Linked DNA regions of Cricetulus griseus. The protein of the gene in region 1 interacts with the protein of each later gene in a pairwise test. Links are inferred from orthologs where the notes say so. Each region holds a gene or a part of one and is shown on either strand. Other genes may lie near its edges.

Evidence for each region.
Region 2: the proteins of Gnb5 (region 1) and Gng3 interact in a two-hybrid assay, tested with the Homo sapiens proteins (2 studies listed by BioGRID, with this or other methods). The link is inferred for Cricetulus griseus from reciprocal best matches to the Homo sapiens genes GNB5 and GNG3.

Annotation. Positions count from the first base shown.
Region 1 is NC_048597.1:186,597,044-186,599,934, reverse strand, and holds part of Gnb5 (guanine nucleotide-binding protein subunit beta-5), read right to left. Parts: intron 1,364-2,891; coding exon 1,267-1,363; intron 441-1,266; coding exon 274-440; intron 1-273. UniProt on the Homo sapiens protein: Enhances GTPase-activating protein (GAP) activity of regulator of G protein signaling (RGS) proteins, such as RGS7 and RGS9, hence involved in the termination of the signaling initiated by the G protein coupled receptors (GPCRs) by accelerating the GTP hydrolysis on the G-alpha subunits, thereby promoting their inactivation.
Region 2 is NC_048596.1:51,247,832-51,252,388, forward strand, and holds Gng3 (guanine nucleotide-binding protein G(I)/G(S)/G(O) subunit gamma-3), read left to right. Parts: upstream 1-1,744; 5' UTR 1,745-1,994; intron 1,995-2,481; coding exon of another isoform or gene 2,482-2,559; exon of another isoform or gene 2,560-2,704; intron 2,705-3,078; 5' UTR 3,079-3,294; intron 3,295-3,640; 5' UTR 3,641-3,641; coding exon 3,642-3,740; intron 3,741-4,007; coding exon 4,008-4,136; 3' UTR 4,137-4,476; downstream 4,477-4,557. Other genes in the region: Bscl2 (seipin), read right to left, coding at 736-1,052, 2,482-2,559. UniProt on the Homo sapiens protein: Guanine nucleotide-binding proteins (G proteins) are involved as a modulator or transducer in various transmembrane signaling systems.

The DNA.
Region 1 (2,891 bases):
AACCTGTGGCTTACTCAAGGACAGAATCACAATCAATCAGACAGTTAGGGGAAAACAAAACATTTGGGTTATCTAGCTCCAGTTTTCTTTCAACACCATGCCGAAACTCTTGGTCTCTCTGAACACCTGTGTGGATGAAGCGCCTAACCTCCCAGAGACACCCCCGTGGCATCTGTAGTTCTAGACATGAGAATGCTGGTTGACATCCTGTCTCAGGAAGGCCACCAGTCCTTCCTCTCCTTTCACACAGGAAAAGTGAGACATCTCTCTTACTCTTAGAGTGTGATCCCATGATCCTGAGCAGAATGCTGTCCCATCGGGAGAAACTCGAAGAGTGCTGACACGGTTTTCATGTCCAAACAGGATGGAGACCCTGGAACCCTTGAGAACGTCCCAGACATTGATGGTATAGTCATTGTACCCAGCGAAGAGCAGGCGACCTGGGAGCAGAAGACACAATACAATGGTTACACCATTTTTCTGTTGTTCCTTCCTTGACTGTCACTCTCACTCACCCACCCACCCACCCACCTAGTCACTCATGAACTTTTCCATCCATCCATCCACCCACCCACTCATCTTCCCACCTAGTTACTCATGAACTTTCTCATCCATCCATCCATCCATCCATCCATCCATCCATCCATCCATCCATCTATCCATCCACTCATCCACCCATCCATCCAATAAATATAGGCTCATCTAGGCCCACTGTGTGGCAGACAATATATGTTGCCTTTGCAATTCAAGAGAAAGCTGTCACTGTCATCTGTGAAAGGCACGGGAGGAATATCACTGTAGCATCATGGTAGGAGCCACTATGCCAGGCTCACGTGTGTGTGGTTCTCCATTGGGCCTTAGAGGAAGCAGGAACACTCCTGCCATTAAACCTTCAACTTGAGTTTACAGAGATTAAAGCAAGGTGATCCATGCTTTCGAGGGCTGAGCAGCTGAGCTGGGTAGAGGTGTCATAAAGTGGCTGCAATTTTGTGTGCAAAGGCGCAGACTCAGAACAGGTGAGTGTCCCATCAGAGCTGGCTTGGCTTCTGCTAGCTGCCTACCAGCTATAGGCAAGGTAGCAGGGAGTTTCAGAGCACAAAGGGAAGGGCCAGCAGATGAGGTGAAGGGAGGGGTATCTGAAGGTCAGATGTGGCCTGAGCATATCGCCCTGCAGAAGGCTCGGTGATGGGAAGGTAGGCAGAGAGACGGTTTGCTTTTTAGGTCTAGTCCTACAGTCCTGGAGAAGTTTCGGAAATAAAACATTACCACTGAGGGAGAAGTCCACGCTTGACGCTCCAAATATGATACTCTCCTTGGAGTAGATGGCGACCTCTCTATCTGCCCGCAGGTCGTAGAGGCGACACTGGGATGCAAAGAAACAGACAAAGGCACCATTATTTCTGGCTTCAATTTGTGAAAGTGCAGACCACAGAGCTATTCTTGGGGGCCAGTAGTTTCTGTAGTTTGAGGCATGACAGGAGAAAACCTATTTAGTTTTCTCTCCTGTTTATCCTTCAGCCCTGTTCCTGCTAACCTCCAGGAGTCAGTAGAGACTCAAAGAAACAGCAAATGTGGAAAATTTCTTCAGGTACAGAGATAAACATATAACACTACTTTATTTACCCCAATGAAGCATATAAGTCATCAAGGAACATTTGGAAATACTTAGAAATTCGTGCATGAGGAAATGAAAATTACCCCAAGTCTTAAAGAGTTATTTGCTAATGTCTGTGATGTTCTTTTTTGTGTTGTTTCTATTTTATGTCTATGTGCCGGATGCTGAAGTCATCTGAGAGGAGGGAACCTCAATTAAGAAAATGCCTCCATAAGACTGGGTTGTAGGGGATTTGGCTTAGTGGTAGAGCACTTGCTTAATAAGTGCAAGGCCCTGGGTTAGGTCTTCAGCTCTGGGGAGAAGAAAAAGTTGGGGCTGTAGGCAAGCCTATAGAGCATTTTCTTCATTAGTGACTGATGGAGGAGCGCTCAGCCCATAATAGGTGGGGCCACCCCTGATCTGGTGGTCCTGGGTTCTATAAAAAAAAAACAAAAAACAAAAAACAGCAGGCAGAACAAGCCATGAGAAGCAAGCCAGTAAGCAGTACCCCTCCATGGTTTGTGTCAGCTCCTGCCTCCAGGTTCCTGACATGTTTGAATTCCTGTCTTAACTCTCTTTGATGCTGAACTGTGTGATGTGAAAGTGTAAACCGAATAAACCCTTTCCTTTTCAACTTGCTTTTTGGCCACAGTGTTTCATCACAGCAATAGAAACCCTAACTAAGACTGTGTGGAAATAGATGGGGTGGGTGTTGCATTGCCGTCTCTGTCAACATTATGTTGTAAGCATTTTCCAAAATTAGAAGATTTTCCAAAATTCAGAGAAGATGATTTATGTGTCTGTCCAATATTCTCCATGTGGCTATGTCTCAACCTGTGAGAGCAAGGCCAGCTCAATGTTCTCCTTAGGACCAAATTTCTCCCTTATACATAATTCTATGAGGAACAATATTTTGTGGGAGAAAAGCTGACTTCTGAATATATTACAAGGGGTAATGGGCTGGGCAGCAGCAATAGAACTGTCCTTAGCCATGCGATGAACATTTTTATGTAAAAACCTTTATATGCATGTTGATGACTAAAATAAAATTACATTAGCTTAGGAGCAGAACCCTTAGAATAGAATTATTTCCAGGAAATGGCATGGCCAAAATATATGCGCATATATATTACATATTTTAAAATATTTTATTATTTATGTGAATATGGATGTGTGTGTGTGTGTGTGTGTGTGTGTGTGAATGCACGTGTATGGGTGTGTGAGGAGGACAGAAGAGGGCGTCAGATGCCCCAGGACTGGAGTTACAGGAGGTTGTAATGGGTGCTGGGAATTGAAC
Region 2 (4,557 bases), on another chromosome or scaffold:
ACAGAGAAACCCTGTCTGGAAAAACCAAGGAAAAAAAAAAGATTTTAAATTGATGATTCTAAAACTGTTTTCTGTATCTGTTGATTGCCTAGTCTTATAGCCACTGTTGGGACACACAGAGAATTTGGCAGCATGAGTAAAAGGGGAATGTTCTAGGAGGTAAGTTATCCTGTTACTGTGCAGACCATTGTGGGTAAGTGGCAGTAAACTAAAAGGCAAAGGAGCTATTTCCTAATACCTCCTGTGCTTTTAAAAGTCGGGGTAATTCTTAGATGCCCAAGGGGTTGAGTTGGCTGGAAATTCTACAGTGACTTAAAAGGTTTTATGCAACCTATACAGAGCAGAGTTAATTACTAGAGTCTAAAAGTGAATTTTCTTTTTCTAGTCTTTGTTTTTTTTTTTTTTTTTTAATTCTTTTTGAGACAAGGTCTCAACCTATAGCCCAGGCTGGCTTGGAACTCATGATAATCCTCCCAATTCAGTCTCCCAAGTGCTGGCATTACAGATGTGACCAGGTTCTTTTTCTAGGTTTCTAATCAGAATTTAGCAGCACAGGTAGATCTAGAACTCTATGGCCCTGCCAGCCCAGACATGCTCCAGCCTTGGCTTGTGAGGTGAGAAGTCCTGTTAACACCCTGGGGTAAGGTTTCATCCTCTATCAATAATGGTTTTCCACAGAGGGTGATCCAGGAGTCCTTGGGGTAATTTTCAACCTTAACGGAGCAGTCTTCTCACCTGTAGTGGAAATGCACAGGGCTGAGGTGGCTGACAGTCGGCATGTAGGAGTAGTAGAAAGAGCCATAGAGGAACACAGACACCCAGAGCAATAGGAGGATGGTGCAGAAGAGCACCCCAAACTGCAGCAACAGCCTGCGTGCACGGCCTGCCAAGACATGGCCTACTTCCTGGGCCCACAGGAAGGCAGGTATTGGTGGGTCATTGACCATGATGGGGACAGCAGAGGATCTAGCCCCAGCTTCAGGCTTTGAATTCCTGGTTGGTCTTCCACAGGGACGATACCCTTGGCCATGGGATAGAGCAGCTGGAGGTTCCTGGAGAAAGAGGGGAAAAAATAGCTATTTTTCCCCAGGGAGCTGAGGACAATAAAGAGAGAGAGAAGGGGGAAGGGAGGGAGGGAGGGAGGGAGGGAGGGAGAGAGAGAGAGAGAGAGAGAGAGAGAGAGAGAGAGAGAGAGAACTCATGAAACTGGCTTTGAGGAACTGGAGACAGGACAAAGCAAAGTCATTGCTTCACAAGCATCCCTCCTCCAATTACTCCTTCACCTTAATCCACTGAGTTTCCTTCAGTCACCGGAGCCCGGAAAAAAAAAAAAAAACTCCTTGATACATTCACAGCATTATTCGTATACAGAATGAGAACCTTAAAACTCTCTCAAAGCGCAGACGACAAGGATCCTCAATGCCAGGAATTGCAAGATGAGAGACTTGCCTAAGGTCGAACAGCCGCCTGAGTTTCTCCCCTCCGCCTGGACCTGTGCTCGCTCACCTAGGGTGTGATCCCTACCCCGCACAGCGCCCTGCGGCCCACCTGCGGAGCGACGCGGAGAGGGCGCCCACTGCTGCGGGAACGCGGTGGACGACGCCGGCCACCGCAGCGAGGCTGGCGCCCAACTCACCAGCCCCAGGCTGCCCAAGCAACCTAGAGAGGGGAGTTCCGGCTGCCGAGAAAGCCCCGCCCCTTCTGTCATCGCCAGTTAAGCGCAGGGGAAGGGCTCGTGCAGGGGCGGGGCCCTTGCGCAGGGGGCAGGGCCTATAGGAGATGCCTCGCTCCTGTTTTGTGCTCTCCACTGTCCCTGTCGGATCATTCATCCAGTTCAGCCACCAAAAGGACAGCGCGCTCCCCATCCAGAACCCACGATAGTCCCAGGAGCAGGCTGAGACTCAGCAGTGTCCCTTTGGTCCTCCTCTAGAGGCCCTCCGCCGAAACCTTCAACACCGGCCTTTTCACCCCAGAACGGTTCCAGTGCAGGCGGGGTGGGTGGAGTGGAGGTGGTGAAAGGGGTGCTGTTTTCATTCAGCATCGCTCCTTGGGCCTGTTAGGTGTCCAAGGGGAGTGGAGGGGAAGGGCCTCATTCGCCCTGAGAACCTTGCACCCTGCCTGAGCCCGAATCTTGTGTGTTGCGCAGATGGCTTGCTGTCCCCGAGCTAGTCAAGCGTAGGAGCATTTCAGCTCCTTTCAGTGTCCAGTTTTTATGCTGCATGATCGACCTTCTGTGACCCGCGTGATGCAGCCAACTTCAGAATCCCTACAAAAACGAGACTAGGTCTCTGAACCTAGAGGCGTCTTCTAGACAGCGTCCTCCAGTGCACATCTTTTTGAATAGTAGCAGTCTATTCAAATCAGATGAAAAATTTCGAATCAATTCCCTGTCTCCCCAACTCCACCGCTTGCCACCCTACTCCCCACTCCAGGAAGCCCCTCTGGTCCATAGTATTCGCCCTAGCTCCGTACCTCCCTTACCTCCTCTTTATCTGATCCTTTTTTCATCTGGTCTTTGCATGTCTGCTTCCCCCCAGCTTCTCTTCTTTGCTGTATCATTTCTTTAGATATCTTCCTGATGGTTACCTCTGTGGCCCCTGGATCTCCCCTCTCAAGTCACTTGTGGCTAGGAAGTGCTGATCTAGAAGCTCATCACCTGTAGAGTGTCACATTTTCCTGGATCTGCAGAATGGAGGGAGGGTCACTGTGAAAGAAACGAAGATTCGGGTGCTGAGTGCTCTGTCAGAGTTGGGGGGGGGGTGCAGCAGCCCAGCTGATGTCAGATTTTCAAATGAGCAGGGTCTCCCACAGCAGTACAGATTCTGCGGCAGGGGCTGTCACAGGCAGGCCCAGACCACCCCACTTAAGAGGGGAGCCTGCTTCCTTCCGCCTCAGGTCCTTTGGGGAGGGCTCTAGTTCAGACTAAGGACTTCTACAATGGGCAGGGGCAGGTAGTGAGATACTAACAGTGGGGGTGTGCACAGGGGATGCAAAGAGCAGCCAGACCTCCCCCACTGGCCAGGCAGTTGGTACGCTCCAGAATCTGAGCAGCTCCTTCTAGCATCCTTCATCCTTCAGGTACCAGCCATCTGGACAGTGCTTGAGCTGCAGTAACTGAGACCACCCTCCCAAGGACCTTCAGTCTGCGCATTTTTGTGACCTTCTCTGCATTAGCTGTCACTGCTACAGATATTTTTAGCTGCACGTCTCTGCAGGGTGGGGCACTTACCTGAGGCAGGTTTGGTGCCCCCTCCCCACTGACCCTACATCCCAGGCTGCCGCCTGCCATTTCAGGTGAGTACAGAGCAGCCTGTTTCTCTCTCGTTAGGGCTTATGGGGCAGATGGCTGATGTGATTTCTTCAGGGTGGGGCTCGTTCTGACTGAGGCTTTCACTGCTGGAAACATATTTGGCTCAATACTGGAAATCCTTAAACCATTTGCATGGTTTGGTGACTGGGACACAGGGATTTGGAGAGATTCTTATCTCTCCTCCATTCTCCCCACTGAGAAAAAGAGATGGGATGGCCACTGGAGAGTGGAGATAATATGGGAACAATATATTGGGCACAGTCGCAGCTGTGTGGTTGTTGAAGCGCTGAGTCCTTCAGCAGAGAACTGAGATGTCTGTCTTTCCTTCAGGATGAAAGGGGAGACCCCTGTGAACAGCACTATGAGTATTGGCCAAGCACGCAAGATGGTGGAACAGCTTAAGATTGAGGCCAGCTTGTGCCGGATAAAGGTGGGTGCGACCCTGGCTCCCATTAGTTCTCCAGGCCTCAGCTGCAGGGTTTCAAACCCCTGAAAAAAGATGCTTCTTTTCTAGACACCCTGAGGCCAGAGGAGGAAACTGGGTATTGTCAGCAAAGCTGTTCCCGAGGACTGTGGGATGGGGGGAAAGGATTGTCTCAAAGGGCACTAGAAACTAAAAGACAGCCTGTTTGGCGAAGAGAACTGCAGTCCCTTTCAGGAATTCTGGCTAATGTTTCTCCTCCTGGCTGTGCCCCAGGTGTCCAAGGCAGCAGCAGACCTGATGACTTACTGTGATGCCCACGCTTGTGAGGACCCCCTCATCACTCCTGTGCCCACTTCGGAAAACCCCTTCCGGGAGAAGAAGTTCTTCTGTGCCCTCCTCTGAAGAGTTCTGTTTCTCCTCAGAACTTACCTCCCCCTCCGAGACCCGCCCTTAGATAGGAAATTGTAGCAGCGCGTCTACCCTTACCTATCATGAGATTAGTTCAAGCACAAGCCCTCCTTACCCCCAGGTCTGTCTGCCCCATCTCCTCACCCTTTGAGGCCAACTGCAAGCACCTTTTACTCCATCCAGATGGACCCCGCTAATGTGCCCGAATCCTGCCTGATTCCCTCTGTGATCCGTTCAGGCAATAGAGAGGGGGTGCCCGGGTGCCTGTCTCAGTCTCACCTGGAGCTATTGGAAGGGTAAAGGCATTTGAAGAATAAAGTCATCCAGAGCCTCAGAGGGCAGCGCCTGTGTTAGCGTTCTTGGGAAAGAGGATCCTTAGTCGATACACTTGCCATCCAGGGAACAGGGCCAGTCC